Ovis aries: one gene and its partners. The protein of the gene in region 1 interacts with the protein of each later gene in a biochemical or structural test. Links are inferred from orthologs where the notes say so. Each region holds a gene or a part of one and is shown on either strand. Other genes may lie near its edges.

Region 1 (4,030 bases):
TTAAAGCTAAACTTAAAAGCTAGACATAGAAATAAATAACTGCCCCAACTTCACTTGAAACATAACAATAATAGCTGGTCTTTACTGAGCACTTATTATGTGTCAGGCACTATTCTGCACCCTTTATAAGTTTATGTAATACAAAACAGCCAGTTTACAGATAACGGGAGACATATTTCCAGGTGAGACAAGGTGTTGGACCTTAAGCAAAGCTGAGGTGGTGTGCAGTCAATGAGGCATATTCTCTCCTTTCAATGAGCTTACCACCTTGTATGGAAAGAAGGGAAGGGATCTAACGCATAGTTCAGAATAAGCAGAAAACTGACAAGACACACATTTAGGAGAGTCCAGAGGAACGCTGATTTCTTCATCCTGGCAGGGTGCCTGAAGGCTTCTTGGAGGAGGTGTGCAAGCAGATAATGAGGACACAAATGGAAGGAGATTTCCATAACTGTCAGTCCCTCAGCTCCCAAAGCTACCAAAAGGCCCGTCTCTTCTCCCTGTCCCCCTCCTCCACTTCATCTGGAACAGGCCTGTTTCCAAAAGAGGACTAGCTCAGCCTAGCCCTCCTTTCCTCTGACACAGTCCTCCAGCTGCTGCTTGCCCTTTCAAGCACGCAGGCACATGTGTGAACTTTTCACCAGGGCTCAACCAGGGAAGAACCTGCATCACGGTGCTTGGTCATACAAGGGACCCCTTTAAGGGAATCCATTCCTTCTCTACTTCTCTACTCAGGGACAGCCCTGAGCCTATACCAAACTAAGATGCAAGGGACTCCCCGCAACCAGCAGCCATATCACTCCTCTCCAAGCTTCCCAGAGGTGAATTTGCTTCCACTCCCTTCTCTTAAGTGCACCCCTCAGGTCTCCCACACTCATCCTCTTCCTCCTTGGTGGTTAAGGCTCTGCAGCAAGGATTTTCAAACCCTCACTCTTGGCATCTGTGTGACCTTGGGCAAGTAACTGAACCAATATCAGTAAATGAAACAATGTCAGTCCCAGCTTCCTTATCGGTAACATAAGGGGGTTTAGAAGAAACACTCGCTCTCAGAATTGTTGTGCATCAGAACAAAAGAGTGCAAGGAAAGCATTTTACATAGAACCTGACACATAATAAGTGAATAAGAAACAGCAGCTATAATCATCTTCACAGGGATGATGACGATGGTTGCAGTGATGGGGATGGTGGTGATGTTGGTGGCAGTATAAACTCGGGCTTGAATGGCGCTGAAATACCCTCTCTATTCTCTCCCCCCACGCCACCCAAAAGTCTGGGGCCAGGCCACACGGGTTGAGACACATGCGTCATCCAGCTGTGGGGTGAATGCAAGATCTTCAAGCTGCAAGCTTTAGGACTGAAAGGTGGTGATGCCCTAGCCCACCTGGCCGGTCACGGGGTGATGCTGATTTTTTGATTAAGGATGTCCAACAATCAAAGACCCTCACCTCCTTCATACCCATTCTCTAGGTCTGAAAACAAATAAGAGATCAAAGAACACAGTAGCTGCGCCCGCTGCAACACTCGCCCAGGGAGCCAGGAGAGCGTCCACTTTGCCCCTGCCTCAGTTCCCCAACTCTCCTCCCGGTGCAGGCAAGCCACTGCTGCGCTTGGTTGCAGAGATAACAGGTTAGCAAACCGGGCCAGGGAAAAATCTCTGCGCTTCCCCGAGCTAACCCAAGCCCCTCTTCCCAACGCAGGTGGGCAAGCAACCCACAGCCTCTCAACAACTTGGTGTATTTCACCATCACTGGGCACACGGCCTCAACATCGCCCCTACGCCGCGTTCGCAGAAGAAAAGCGGGAAATCGGAAGGGGGGCGGGGGGGAGACTTCTCAGGCCGGTTCTTTTCTGGGGGCGCCTCCAGGAGGCGCGGCCCGACTTACCTTGTCTGACGGCTTTGAAGGTGACGGCCTCCTTGCAGCTGTCGATGACTCCCAGTACGTCATAGCGGGGCAAGCCGGACACCCGGATCCCCTGCACCTCCAGTAGCAACTCGCCCTCGCTCAGCCGAGGGCCCTCGCCGCCGCCGGGAAGCCCCGCCGCTTCGGTAGCCGTCACCGCTCCGACATACGGAAACTCTCCGTTCTCCGCGCCCCCCAGCACCGTCACCCCCAGCTCTCCCTGGGGTCCCCGTTTTACGGTGCATTCGTGAACCCTGCTAGTCCAGTGGTTCTTCTTCTGGATCACTTTCGACATGATGAGTTACACCCCTACTACGCCCGCCAAAAAAAATAATGATAAAATGAGAGACAGGTGCCCCCCACAGCACAAGCCCCCAAGCCCCTGCTGGTTCATGGGAGAGACATCTCCCCCCACAAACAACGCAGCGGGAGAGAGAAACTTGGCAGCCTCGCTCCCTTGCACACACTCGCTCACTCAAGCCATCATAAAACAAACTTTCTGGGCTTCCCCGCGAGCCCTGCACAGGCGCCCGCGAGCTTTGTTTGCATTCCGGTGCTTCTCGGTCCACGTTCCGGCGCCCGACCGTGCTCTCTGGGACCAGAGTCCACTCTGCGCAGCTTGGATTATTTTTTTTTTTCCTTCCTTTCTTTCTTGCCTCTTAGAAATGCGGTGTCTCCTCTTTGCCTCCCGCCTGGGTCGCCTTTCCTCGCTGGCGGGCAGTTTCTGAGGGTGAGGGAAGCCCTTCTAGGCAGTTGCTGGGAGCCCTGGAGACGCGGTAGCTGAGCGGGGGCGGGGGGGACAGGAGGGAAGTGCCTGCGTCCCCTTTAAGCAGATACAAAGGCTCGGCTTGTTTTGTTACAGTTCATTCTATTCCGCGCCGCCGAGCGCAGCGGCCGGCAAGAGGAGACGCGCGCGCATGCGCCCCGCGACCGCCTGCCGGCCGGCCCGCCCCACCCCGCCTTCCCGAAGTGAGAGATTCCAATGTGCTTCCCGTTGGGTCCTAAGTCCGACTTCTCCAGGATCAGCCACTTTTCTCCCCCTTCACACACCCTTCTCATTCCTACTTTTATTTCAGTGCTCACGACTCTGCATAGCCCCTTCGGGGGTCTGGGAGAGGAGGAAGTGTTTTACTCCAACTGACTGCAACTTAAAAACATGGGCAATCTGCTTGGGTATTTTAAAACCATTTCAAACAGGTGGGGGTTGGGGAGGCGCACACTCACCCTCGCGCTCACACTCACGCACACACGCACGCACACACGCCGGCCTAAGCTTCCTTACCGCCCTCGGCCAGTGGCTGGCCACGCTGTCCGTCACCCAGCCCACCCCCCGCCGCAGTTCCCTCTAATACCCTGACCCCAACCCAGAGGAGTGCGCCTGCCCGGCTTCCCCCCAACCTGCACTGTGAGGGCGGGTTCTGGTCTTTGAGTAGGGTGTGCCCCAGCCTCTGCGACCCTGGGGAGGGGGGGCCGTGGTGGTCCCCCAAATGGGATCCGTCACACGCCCACACACGTATACACACACTTATCTGCATCCTTAAACTTTAGGGCCAACTTTTCTGGACGCAGATAAAGTATAAGGCGAGGGAAAGAAGCCTAAAAGCAAGAGAGGCTTGGGGTCTTCAACCGAAAAGGGTCTAGCTCTTTAAAACTGGCGGCCAGAGACCTCTGGAACCAGGCGTCTGTCCTGGACTCAAGTTCCTGGCTAAGCTGGGCAGCCTTTGGACCCGCCCCGGGGCCAGGAGATAAGGATCACTCCTGGGTCTGGGATCTGCACCCAAGTCCTGGCGCCCGCGGGGGCGTGGGCGCGGCAGCCACCTCTCGGAATTCACAGCCTGGAGTTGCTGTTGCCTCGGGCACCGCCCGAGGGCGGGGGTAGAGCCAGCTAATGTCCCTGCTAGGTTTCGGAACGTGCTCGGGGGCTGCGGACAGAAAGAATATCCTGCACCGGCAAGGCTACCCTCCCTAAATACTCCCCAATCGGCCTGGGCGATAGTCTCCTAAACATTTTCTTTTCCTCAGTGATTTATAACTTATTTATCCATCTTGGGTCACAAGAGAGATTTCAAGTGCTAAATAAGGGAGGTGAGTGTAAAGGATTCCGAAAGGACGGGGTGCCGCAGAGGTCA
Region 2 (4,041 bases), on another chromosome or scaffold:
TATATGTTTTCTTCTCTCATCCCTCCAAAATTAATCCTAGAGTTTTGAGAATCTGGGAACTTGGGCAAAGGAGAAGGCAACGCAGCAGACCAAGAAATTTGAAATCTCAGTTCACTACTGTGTCACCCAAAGCCAATGTACCTTTTTTGTTTGCACTGACCCAGCTCAAGTCATACAATCACGTGAGTAACAGAACACAAAATCCAGGTGTTATTACTGAACATGAAAAGTCTGAAAAGTAATTAAACGTGTTCTAGCTTCCGTGGCGGTGTCATTTACTCTAACATGCCTGTCCTTAAGCCTCTCTCTCTCTTTACATTACCGGCACACACCGTTGCACCATACTCACACATCCATCAGCTGGGACCTGGGAGTGTGTATTTTTCCAACTGGTCCTCAGCATTAGCTGTCAGCTGCACAAACCTTCCTTTGCTTTCTGCATCTGCTGCCCTGGAACGACAGAAGCTTCTTGCAAGAATAGCTCCCGGGGAGCGTTCCTGACAGATGCGCGCTCTGCTTTAGCAAGGCGCTCGCTGGAAAGTTTCTTCTAACCGCTCACACCCGCCTCCGATCCGATCCCCGAGCTGGCAGGACGCGAGCTGGCTGGGACTCCTCTTGACAGAGGAAGGGCTTTACACACACCCTCCTAGGCTGCCCAATACAAGAAACAGTCTTGCAGCCAGACTCCTCCACCCCCAGCGAACAGACCGTCCAAGGCGCTCCGGTGTTTCGAGAACACCGAAGTCCCCTTCCTGCTAAAGGGCGCGTGAGCTCTGCTCTGCAGGAAACCTGGGCACTGGAGGTAGATGGGATGGGTGGCGGCGGGTAGAGCCGGGGCGCAGCGGAAAGCAAACGCCGGAGGCAAACAGGGCGCAGGAGAGGGGAGATTGGGGGCCGCGGGAGGGGGCAGGGTGGAAGCCGGGCGCGACTGGGAACCGAGGGGAACTGGGCACTGGAGCCAAGCGGGCTCTGGAAGGGACGCGCGGGCAGGAACCCGCGAGCGCTGGGGAGGGGCTTGCTTGGCGATCTGCCCCGGACTCCCTAGAGCCGCAGAACCGCCGGTGGAGGCGGGGTGCTAGGAGTTGGCGGGGCCGGGTGGGGGTGGGGGGGAACCAGAGAGGGGCGTGCCTTCGCCAGGATTGGCTGCAGGAGCCTGACGCGAGGCCCCGGGGGTTGGCTCGGGGGAGTGGGAGCCGGGTGGGGTGGGTGCTGGGTGCCGGGGCTGCGGGCTCCGCGAGCTCAGAAACATGCTGAGGTCCCGGCAGCTGTTCCAGCAGCGACAGCGGCTCCAGCAGCAGCGGCGGCGGCGGCGGCGGCGACAGCGCACGGCTCCGGCGGGGAAGGCGCCCGGCGCCCATGCCTCCGGCCCCGCGCCGCGGCTGCGCTGACCTGGCCGCGACCTCCCTCCGCGCGCCCCGCCGTTCGGGCCTCTGGGGGGGTTCCCCAACCGCGGCCCAACTCCGCCACACCCCTCTCCCCCGGCCTCCGCAGCTCGGCATGGGCGCGGGGGCGCTCGCCCTGGGCGCCTCCGAGCCCTGCAACCTGTCATCGGCCGCGCCGGTCCCCGACGGCGCGGCCACGGCGGCGCGGCTGCTAGTTCCCGCGTCGCCGCCCGCCTCGCTGCTGACCTCGGCCAGCGAGGGACCCCCGCTGCTGTCGCAGCAGTGGACGGTCGGCATGGGCCTGCTGATGGCATTCATTGTGCTGCTCATCGTGGCGGGCAACGTGCTGGTGATCGTGGCCATCGCCAAGACTCCGCGGCTGCAGACGCTCACCAACCTCTTCATCATGTCGCTGGCCAGCGCAGACCTGGTCATGGGTCTGCTGGTAGTGCCGTTTGGAGCCACAATCGTGGTGTGGGGCCGCTGGGAGTATGGCTCCTTCTTCTGCGAGCTCTGGACCTCGGTGGACGTGCTGTGCGTGACGGCCAGCATCGAGACCCTGTGTGTCATCGCCCTGGACCGCTACCTCGCCATCACGTCGCCCTTCCGCTACCAGAGCCTGCTGACCCGCGCGCGGGCGCGGGCCCTCGTGTGCACCGTGTGGGCCATCTCGGCGCTGGTGTCCTTCCTGCCCATCTTCATGCAGTGGTGGCGGGACAAGGACGCCAAGGCGAGCCGGTGCTACAACGACCCCGAGTGCTGCGACTTCATCATCAACGAGGGCTACGCGATCACCTCTTCCGTCGTCTCCTTCTACGTGCCCCTGTGCATCATGGCCTTCGTGTACCTGCGGGTGTTCCGCGAGGCCCAGAAGCAGGTGAAGAAGATCGACAGCTGCGAGCGCCGCTTCCTCAGCGGCCCCGCGCGGCTGCCCTCGCCCGCGCCCTCGCCCGGGCCGCCGCTCCCTGCCGCCGCGGTGGCCAACGGGCGCGCCAACAAGCGGCGGCCCTCGCGCCTCGTGGCCCTGCGCGAGCAGAAGGCCCTCAAGACGCTGGGCATCATCATGGGCGTGTTCACGCTCTGCTGGCTGCCCTTCTTCCTGGCCAACGTGGTGAAGGCCTTCCACCGCGACCTGGTGCCCGACCGCCTCTTCGTCTTCTTCAACTGGCTGGGCTACGCCAACTCGGCCTTCAACCCCATCATCTACTGCCGCAGCCCCGACTTCCGCAAGGCCTTCCAGCGCCTGCTCTGCTGCGCGCGCCGGGCCGCCTGCGGGAGCCACGGGGCCGCCGGGGACCCGCCGCGCGCCGCGGGCTGCCTGGCGGTGGCCCGGCCGTCGCCGTCTCCCGGGGCCGCCTCGGACGACGACGACGACGACGACGAAGACGACGTCGGGGCCGCGCCGCCCGTGCGCCTGCTGCAGCCCTGGGCTGGCTACAACGGCGGGGCGGCGGCGAACAGCGACTCGAGCCCGGACGAGCCAAGCCGCCCGGGCTGCGCCTCGGAATCCAAGGTGTAGGGCCGGGCGCCCCTCCCCGCCTTCCCCGGCTTCCCCAGTCCGGGCGCGGGCTGTGCGCTCCAGGAGCAAGAGAACCCGGGCGCCCCTGAACCGCTTCCCCGGGAAAGAGGTCTGTGTTTACTCGAGACCGAAAGCAGGTGAACTCGAAGCCTGCGAACCTCGTCTGCATCATCCAAGGGCAAATAGGAAAGCCACGGACCGTCGCACAGAAAGGAAAGTTTGGGGAGAGGTGGGAGAAGTTTGGGGAGGGGTGGAAGAGTGGCTTACTGATTGTTCTTGGGGTTCTTTTTCCTGTTTCTGGTCCAGCCTTCTGTGTGTGCGTGTGATGCATCTTTAGAGTCCCTCCTCCCCCCGCCCCCCCGCCACGTGGCTTTTAACACTTTCTGCGATGACTGGGAAGGGAAGGGGGAAGCGTTAGGAGGTAAAAGTCTCTCGACTTAGTTTCCATCCCATTCCTGGGAACAGAAGCGGTCAGCCAGAGAGAGAGGAGAGAGAATGACACTTTATCAGGACGTTGTTTCCTTTTGCTTTTCAGAGAAATTCCATTTTAATTTCTGAGGAATTATTTCTCCTGTTCTGAAAGCCGAGGGCAAGGATGGATGCAAAAATCGCGTTTCAGGAAGTTTTATGCTCTTCTTGGAACAAGCCTCACCTTGCTTCCCTTTCGGAGGGCAAGCGGGCTGTCCCTGAACGCCTCCTCGGTGGTCAGGCTGAGGGGTTCCTACCTCACTCACACGGTGCACATTGCACGGCCAGATAGAGAGACTTGTTTATATTAAACAGCTTATTTATGTATCAATACTAGTTGGAAGGACCAGGCGCTGAGCCTTCGTGACATGTGACTCTGTCCATTGAAGACAGGACAGAAAAAGGAAAAAGAAAAAAGGAAAACAATTCAGATTACTGCACATGTGGTATAGACAAAAAATCAAAACAAAAAAGCCGTGATTCAAAGTGGCATTTTTTTTGCACAGTATTAGGAACTGTAAAGTCCACAGAAAATGTTATTTGCACAAAAAGAAATGAAATATTTTTTAATGGGAGTGGGGTGGGGCAGATCTTAAAAACTAAAATAAAATTCAGATTCTATCTCTGTTGTCTGTTATGTTATTGAGCTAGCAATTTATTGGAAAATACCTT
Region 3 (4,074 bases), on another chromosome or scaffold:
TGGGCATACCAGAGCACCTGACCTGCCTCCTGAGAAATCTGTATGCAGGTCAAGAATCAATGGTTAGAAATGGACATGGAACAACAGACTGGTTCCAAATCGGGAAAGGAGTACGTCAAGGCTGCATACTGTCACCCTGCTTATTTAACTTATATGCAGCATAAATCATGTGAAATGCCAGGCTATATGAATCACAAGCTGGAATCAAGATTGCCAGGAGAAATATCAATAACCTCAGATATGCAGATGACACCACCCTTATGGCAGAAAGCGAAGAAGAGCTAAAGAGCCTCTTGATGAAAGTGAAAGAGGAGAGTGAAAAAGTTGGCTTAAAATTCAACATTCAGAAAATAAGATCATGGCATCCACTTTCATCACTTCATGGCAAATAGATGAGGAAACAGTGGAAACAGTGAGAGACTTTATTTTCCTGGGCTCCAAAATCATAGCAGATGGTGACTGCAGCCATGAAATTAAAAGACACTTGCTCCATGAAAGAAAAGCTATGACCAAACTAGACAGCATGTTAAAAAGCAGAGACATTACTTTGCAAACTAAGGTCCGTCTTGTCAAGGCTATGGTTTTTCCAGTAGTCATGTATGGATGTGACAGCTGGACTGTAAAGAAAGCTGAGCAATGAAGAATTGTGCTTCTAAACTTTGATTTCAGAGAAGACTCTTGAGAGTCCTTTGGACTGTAAGGAGATCCATCCAGTCCATCCTAAAGGAAATAGGTCCTGAATATTCATTGGAAGGGCTGATGCTGAAGCTGAAATTCCAACGCTTGGCCACTCGATGCAAAGAACTGACTCATCGGAAAAGACCTTGATGCTGGGAAAGATTGAAGGCAGGAGGAGAAGAGGACGACAGAGGATGAGATAGTTGGATGGCATCACCAACTCAATGGACATGAGTTTGAGTAAACTCTGGGAGATAGTGAAGGACAGGGAAGCCTGGCGTGCTGCAGTCCATGGGGTCACGAAGAGTAGGACAGGTCTGAGCGACTGAACTGAGCTGAAAATGCTTCCCAGTTTCCCTTGACTTGTGGTGAAAGTCCTAATGAACTGTACACTAGTAATCGGGCCTTGGCGATTTAGGAACTAGACCCCAGGCCTCTGGCTCATCAGCCGGGCGACCCTGTGGACCACGCTCCCCCTCACAGCTTCCGAACAGTTTAGCGCCTTAAGGAAGGAGAGGGGCGGGACTCCACGATCCTAGCAACCGCGCCGCGTCCCCTGATTGGCTGGTGTCCGCACGGCCGCCATTTTCAAACCCCGGAAGATGGCGGCGGCGGAGGTGGCGGCGCCGTCCTGACAGGAACCCGTCTTCGGGCCGCAGAGGCCGGGCGCCGTGCCGCTCCCAGCGGGCCTCCCGGGCACCCAGCCACCGCGCCGCCCCCTCCGCGCCATGGAGCCCGAGCTGGAGGCCCAGGAGCAGAGCCGGCCGCGGAGGCGAAGCCGCCGGGCCTCGGGGCTCAACGCCGGCGGCGCCGCGGAGCCAGCGGCCGACACCCCCGGGCCCGGCCCGGACGGCAGGTGAGCGCGGGGTGAACGGCGCCTGGGGACTCGGGTTGTGGGGCCCGAGGCTGGGGAGGGGGTGGCGGGCAGGGAAGGAGCCGGGGGTAGGGGAGAGCAGGGCTGCCTGCTCTCCTCTGCTTCCTCCTCTCTCCCCTCGTCCCCCTCTTCCGATCGCCTGACCCTCCTTTATTTTTACCTCCCGTTCCTCTCCTTCCTCCCTCTCGTCTCCCCTCCCCGCTCAGGGGGTGGAGGTCCTCTCTGCACACCCAGCAGGTTTCGGGCTGGATTTGGGGGTGGCGGGGGCGGTTCCTAAATGCCCACCGAGAGCTGCTGGCTAAGAGGACTGGAATCGTTCCTGGAGCCGGAGAGTTTCTTTTGTTCAGTCGCTCGGTCGTGTCCGACCCCTTACGACCCCATGGACCGCAGACCGCCAGGCTCCTCTTGTCCAAGGATTCCCCAGACAAGAATCCTGGGATTCTTGTGATCCATTCTCTTCTCCGGGGGATCCTCCCAGCCCAGGCATCAAGCCAGCATCTCCTGCATTGACAGGCGGATTCTTTTACCATTGTGCCACCAGGGAAGCCCCCGAGGACTTCTACCAGACACCAAACTTTTAGCCTAAAAGCAAGCATTAAAATGAAGAGTTTCGCCGAGGTCACAGTCCCTCCTTTCGAGCCTCTGACCAAGTCGGTGATCAGGGCGCAGCTCAGGACCCCAGCCTCCCGGGTAAAGAGGACGCAGAGGCCCATCTTGGACTTTTTAGCTATTGACACATTTCATTCTGTCCTGTGCGTCTGCGAAGGGAGGACACCGGCCGAGGGTGTCAGAGGCGGTGTCTGCGAGGCGAGCGGTGAACGAGGGCTGGGGGCATTGCTTTCCCGTCAGGATGCTGCAGGCCCTGGGTTCCTGTGACCAGCCGTTGGACCTTTCATCTCTAAGGTTGGGTCCTCATCTGTCATATAGGGTTGAAATAGTATCCACTTCCTCCAAGTTGTGCAATTCAGTGAGGTCATTGTGTGAGCCTGTATGCAAGGAGTTAGAAACAAACTGTTATTTGCTGATTTTTATCAGTAATTCCACATCTGCTTCTCTTTTCAGAAGTCCCTGTGGTCCACTACTTATTCTTAAACTACAGTTCCTTACTGAAGTTACATTCCAGTCATGCTTGGATGTGCCAGTCATTTTTTCAGAGAAAGGAAAACACCTTAATTTCATGGACAGAGCATTTGTAAACTCACAGTTAATAAGTCATCGTGCAGAGAATTAGACTTTTTCATTAGATATTGATTTTTTATTTTGAAGATTAGGATAATCCTTGCCTGAAACCTTTATACTGATTACAACTTATATTTAAGAGGTAGTGAAAAAGCAGAAAGACGTCATCATCCCAGAGACTGAGAAATAGGAGAATCAGGACCATGTAGTGAAGGGAAGAAGAACAGTGATAAATTCATTCTGTGTTCATTCAATAAAGCTTTTGAGCATTTGCCTGGAAAGATCCCCAGAGGAGGGCATGGCAACCCACTCCAGTATTCCTGCCTGGAGAATCACATGGACAGAGGAGCCTGGAGGGCTACAGTCTGTGGGGGTCACAGAGAGTCGGACACGACTGAGCAACTAACACTTGCACTTTCCTAGATCTTCACAGTGTTGCAGATATTAAGAGATTTTGGTGAACAGATGAAGTCTCTGCTCTCATAAAGCTTACATTCTGGTTAGGAATGAAAGACGATAATGAAATACCAGGTGGTCATCTTGTGAGGAGAATTAAGGTATGGTAAGGGCAGGCATCGGAGAAGGCAGTGGCACCCCACTCCAGTGCTCTTGCCTGGAAAATCCCATGGACGGAGGAGCCTGGTGGGCTGCAGTCCATGGGGTTGCTGGGAGTTGGACACGAGTGAGCGACTTCATTTTCACTTTTCACTTTCATGCATTGGAGAAGGAAATGGCAACCCACTCCAGTGTTCTTGCCTGGAGAATCCCAGGGACGGGAGAGTCTGTTGGGCTGCCGTCTGGGGTCACACAGAGTCGGACATGACTGAAGCAACTTAGCAGCAGCAGCAGCAGCAGGACAGGCAGAGATAAGGAGAGGGGCAGTTTTGCCTTTTTTTTTTTTTTTTCACTTTATTTTACTTTACAATACTGTATTGGTTCAGTTTTGCTATTTTTAAAAGATCAAACAGTTCTCCTCCATGGTAATGATGCCATTTAAGCAGAGATGTGAAGGAATTAAGGAACTCCACCATGTGAAGATGTGGGGAGAAAGGCAGTAAGTACAGGGCTTCAAAGTAGAATCCTGTTCGGTGTGTTCAAGGACTGTAGAGAAGCCACGGTAACTGGAGTGGAGCAAATTAAAGTGAGAAAGGTGGACAGCGAGGTCACAGAGATGCCTGGGTCAGATCGGGTAGTACATGGCCAACCACCAGAAAGATTTCAAATTTGAATCTATGGTTGGGAGACAATAGAAAATTCTGTGATGTGTAGTTTAAAAGGATTGGTCTGTTACGTGGCAGGGAGAAAATCAGGGAGACTAATGAAGAGGTTACTGCAGTTTGAGA
Region 4 (4,132 bases), on another chromosome or scaffold:
CCCGGAGTTCACTCAGACTCACGTCCATCGAGTCCGTGACGCCATCTAGCCATCTCATCCTCTGTCGTCCCCTTCTCCTCCTGCCCCCAATCCCTCCCAGCATCAGAGTCTTTTCCAATGAGTCAACTCTTCGCATGAGGTGGCCAAAGTACTGGAGTTTCAGCTTTAGCATCATTCCTTCCAAAGAAATCCCAGGGTTGATCTCCTTCAGAATGGACTGGTTGGATCTCCTTGCAGTCCAAGGGACTCTCAAGAGTCTTTTCCAACATCACAGTTCAAAAGCATCAATTCTTCGGCGCTCAGCCTTCTTCACAGTCCAACTCTCACATCCATACGTGACCACAGGAAAACCATAGCCTTGACTAGATGGACCTTAGTCGGCAAAGTAATGTCTCTGCTTTTGAATATACTATCTAGGTTGCTCATAACTTTTCTTCCAAGGAATAAGCGTCTTTTAATTTCACGGCTGCAGTCACCATCTGCAGTGATTTTGGAGCCCCCAAAACTAAAGTCTGACACTGTTTCTACTGTTTCCTCATCTATTTCCCATGAAGTGATGCTGTGTAACCTTCATAAAGTCTCCACTCCTCTGGCCTTCCATCTGTGACATGGGGGATGGGGCGGGTCCTGGCCTTAACGACCTCATGCTCTTTGACTTGGACGCCCTGTAGCAGACAACCGATTTTTCCTTTGCAGGGCAACTAGTCGCCCTCGCCCTCACCCAAACCAGGCATCTGCGGCCGCTGCGAAAGGACTTGTCCACGCTCGCTCCTAGGTGCCTTGGCCCGCCAGGCTCATCTGCACGAGAGGGTAGGGGTGTTGGAGGACCATGAAGCAAAAAAGGCACTCTGCTACTCCCTCAAACAAATAGGCATACTGCCTGACCCCCCTCCCGCCACATTGTAACTAACACACACTCACACACACGAGTGGGCGTCAGGAGAAGACGGCGGCTTACGCGCGTGCGTCGGCGCAGAGCCCTCTCCCGCCCACGTGCGCGCCCCCGCCGGAGGCGCGCACCGCGGCGGGCAGGCGGGAAAGCGCGCGGGAAGCCCCCGGCTGGCTCCCACTGTGGGGGAGGGAGGACCGGAGGCGTTTGGAACGTGCCATTCTCGGAGAGAACTGGGGGGGGATTTCCATGCTGCGATAGCGTTGTTACCCCTCTCATTCGCCGACCGATCCGTTAGCTCCCTCCGTTCCCCGCCGCGATACGGTGCCCCGAGCCGCGGCCGCCCCCCGTCCCAGAAGCCTGGCCCGGCCCCTCGAGCCCGGCTGTGGCCTAAGCTGTCCCCTCCGCCGCCGGAGTGGGGCGCTGCGCCGCGCGTTGGGGCCGGAAATTCCCGCGGCCTGAGTGGAGGAACCGAAGCACAGAGCGCGGCGCCGCCTACCACCTCCCGGGGCCGGGCAAAGAGGGTCGGGCTGCCTTAGTGGGGGTGGGAGGGCCGCGTGTGAGGAACCGCGGAGCCGGCGGCGGGTGGGGAGGCGCGGAGGGCAGGGGACGGGACGGCAGGGTTGCTGCTCCGGAGGCGCTGGGAGACCCTGCGCCCCCGCAGCCGGGCCCCCGCCCCCTCGCGGTCTCCGCCTCCTTGCCTCACACACCCCCCGGGCCGCCAGAGCCCAGGCCCTCCCGGGGCTCCTCCTCCTTCTCTTCACACTCACCCTCCGACCCGGGTTCTCCTGCCACCCGCCGGCCTTGCAGCTTCCCGGGCGAGTCTTCGTTCTCAGGCTCTCCTTACACACACACAAGCACACGCCCGCTCCCGGGGCGGCCCTCTCCTCTCGACCCTCCTTTTCCTCTCCTCACTTACGCCGCCGTGGGAGGAGGATTGATGTCCCTTCAGCATCATGCAGCCGCCGCCGAGGAAGGTGAGGATGCAGCTGGGGGTCTTTGAGGTTTTGGGCGGGGATGCGTACAAGGAACGCGGCTGGGGCACCGCGGCGCCCCCTCCCCCTTTGCGCAGGGGGCCGTGACCGTCGTCGTCTCGGGCTTGTCACTCACTTGCCGCCGGTTCCTGGAGGGGGGCGCGTGTGTTTGGTGCCTTCGCAGCGGAGGGGCGGCCGTGGCTCGTCCCCTTCACCGCACAGGAGACCACCCCCCAACCTAGACATTTCACAGGAGTTTCGAGTGTGCGTGCGTGTGTGTGTGTGTGAGCGAGCGCGCATGGCAGTGCTGCTCTCTGCAAAGTGCTTTCTCCGGGGCTTCACCGAGGGGAGGTGGGGGAGCCCCCGCAGCTTTGCAGAGCCTTGTGTTTGTGTGATTGTTTAGTCTGCACCAGGTTTGAGCCCCCCTCTCGCTTGTTGCCACCCTCGCGCATTTGCGGATTTACAGGACATTTGTTACCAGCCTCGCCTTAAGATTTGGCCCGCTTTCCCCACCCGGCGACCGAAAAGAAGTCGCAATAGCCACCCCACCCCAGGGGAAAACAAGAAATTAAGCATTGAACGGTTCTGCCTTTCTCTTCCCGGTTCCTGCCCCGCCCCTCCGACAAGGGGGAGAGGAAGGTGGTGATTCTCTTCCCAGGAGAGCGAGAACCGGGCGGTGCGTGGCGTGTTCGCCGCGATCTGGGCTTGGGGTGGGAGTGACGAGTGCTCCGGGCTTGTCAGCAGCTTCAGCCCTTCCAGAACTGTTTCAGTGTCCTTCCCCAGTTTTTTTCCCAGGGAGCGAGGCTGTGTCCTTGTCGTTTCAATCTTGCAGATGGTTACTGAGTGTCTACTCAGGGCGCTGGGTGGAGGAGCCTGTTCTGTCCTCCCCTTGTGGGCAAACATTTGGTGAATGCCTAACTCACTCGTGTCTGCTCCCTCTTCTTTTCTGTTTCTCACCTGGGTTCTCCAAGTGAGTCTTTTTCTTTTCACACATAGCCCTCCGGTAGCCCTGCTCCGGTGGCGGCGAGGGTTCCAGGCCCACTGTAACCTGAATCCTGGCCTGGCGGGCGAGGCACTGGCCAATTTGCATTTACTGTTCTGTTTGAAGTGGAAATGCCACGGGAACCGGCTTGCTGGGGTGGCTTAAAAGCTCTGCATAAGCTGGCAGGTCACTTTTGCTTTCTTCTTTGTGAACAAGAGATTTTGATTTGCTGTGCTGTCAGCAAGGGCGCCATCCAGAGAGTGTGCTTCTCCTAGCCATTATAGAATAATTTTTGTAGTTGATTGTGTAAATTTCAGTCATTAGATATTAGGCATTCGTTATGTCCCCTTCTCCCATCTATGCTCTGCTCACCTCTCCTTATGGTTAATACATTTGAATCCTGTTTGGAAGAACAGGAGCTTTTAAAGCTCTAAGAAGACCTAGATAGGTATTGTACATGAAATGAAACGACTGGCAGTTTATTTTGCACCTTTTTAATCTGTAATTTTTATACTCATGTACTTTCATTTAGCTTCTGCTTCAGGTTATTTTGGCTAGTTGTTAAAATTAAGTATCTGCAGTGAACAAAATTAGGTGGCTAATAACAGGATTGTGGTCCTCAGAGGAGAGGCAAGTAACAGTTATATATTCTAACAAGTATTACATATTTTCCTTAAATAATTTTTTTTAAAGTTGTGTTAAGCCCTTATAAATATATGGTATATTTCAGGTGAAAGTTACACAGGAACTGAAAAACATTCAAGTTGAACAGATGACAAAACTTCAAGCCAAACATCAAGCAGAATGTGATTTGCTTGAAGATATGAGGTAAGGTTATAGTAAATAGTTGGAGAACTTCTGTATCTCTGTTTCAAAGAACCTTTGAGTTACCAAGCCCCAGGAACTGATGATGGAATTTCCTTTTGGATTTCCTGCTTTAAGGCTGTTAGAGCTTTAACTCAGCTAGAAGTTGTAACTGGAACTAACACAATACAAACTTTTTTTCCTTCAGTGGAGAAACCTATAACGTTCACATACTTTTATGAAAAAAAAGTTCTTACAAATTTATCAAATTATATAAACAGTGAAATGGAAACTCTTATTTAATCCTTCTAGTAAATTGACCTTTTTGCATTTATTGACCTTAACGATTTCACATGGAATTTTAAACTGACACCTGGTTAATGATTAATATCTGGGGGTGAGCCAGTCAACTTCAGGTGATTATTAGAACATGACAAATATAAGTTTGAACATTAAATTTAGTGGGACATGTGTTTATCGGAT

The links. The genes of interacting proteins can lie anywhere in the genome.
Region 2: the proteins of MAGI1 (region 1) and ADRB1 interact in a test that uses a peptide from one of them, tested with the Homo sapiens proteins (2 studies listed by IntAct). The link is inferred for Ovis aries from reciprocal best matches to the Homo sapiens genes MAGI1 and ADRB1.
Region 3: the proteins of MAGI1 (region 1) and NET1 form a complex in vitro, tested with the Homo sapiens proteins (3 studies listed by BioGRID and IntAct, with this or other methods). The link is inferred for Ovis aries from reciprocal best matches to the Homo sapiens genes MAGI1 and NET1.
Region 4: the proteins of MAGI1 (region 1) and FCHSD2 form a complex in vitro, tested with the Homo sapiens proteins (2 studies listed by BioGRID and IntAct, with this or other methods). The link is inferred for Ovis aries from reciprocal best matches to the Homo sapiens genes MAGI1 and FCHSD2.

The regions. Positions count from the first base shown.
Region 1 is NC_056072.1:35,499,250-35,503,279, reverse strand, and holds the start of MAGI1 (membrane-associated guanylate kinase, WW and PDZ domain-containing protein 1), read right to left. Parts: upstream 2,801-4,030; 5' UTR 2,197-2,800; coding exon 1,884-2,196; intron 1-1,883. UniProt on the Homo sapiens protein: Plays a role in coupling actin fibers to cell junctions in endothelial cells, via its interaction with AMOTL2 and CDH5. May regulate acid-induced ASIC3 currents by modulating its expression at the cell surface.
Region 2 is NC_056075.1:34,061,430-34,065,470, forward strand, and holds ADRB1 (beta-1 adrenergic receptor), read left to right. Parts: upstream 1-1,241; 5' UTR 1,242-1,356; coding exon 1,357-2,901; 3' UTR 2,902-3,990; downstream 3,991-4,041. UniProt on the Homo sapiens protein: Beta-adrenergic receptors mediate the catecholamine-induced activation of adenylate cyclase through the action of G proteins. This receptor binds epinephrine and norepinephrine with approximately equal affinity.
Region 3 is NC_056066.1:42,755,384-42,759,457, reverse strand, and holds the start of NET1 (neuroepithelial cell-transforming gene 1 protein), read left to right. Parts: upstream 1-1,274; 5' UTR 1,275-1,406; coding exon 1,407-1,534; intron 1,535-2,318; exon of another isoform or gene 2,319-2,402; coding exon of another isoform or gene 2,403-2,455; intron 2,456-4,074. UniProt on the Homo sapiens protein: Acts as a guanine nucleotide exchange factor (GEF) for RhoA GTPase. May be involved in activation of the SAPK/JNK pathway Stimulates genotoxic stress-induced RHOB activity in breast cancer cells leading to their cell death.
Region 4 is NC_056068.1:51,337,004-51,341,135, reverse strand, and holds the start of FCHSD2 (F-BAR and double SH3 domains protein 2), read left to right. Parts: upstream 1-1,332; 5' UTR 1,333-1,845; coding exon 1,846-1,866; exon of another isoform or gene 1,867-2,463; intron 2,464-3,575; coding exon 3,576-3,673; intron 3,674-4,132. UniProt on the Homo sapiens protein: Adapter protein that plays a role in endocytosis via clathrin-coated pits. Contributes to the internalization of cell surface receptors, such as integrin ITGB1 and transferrin receptor.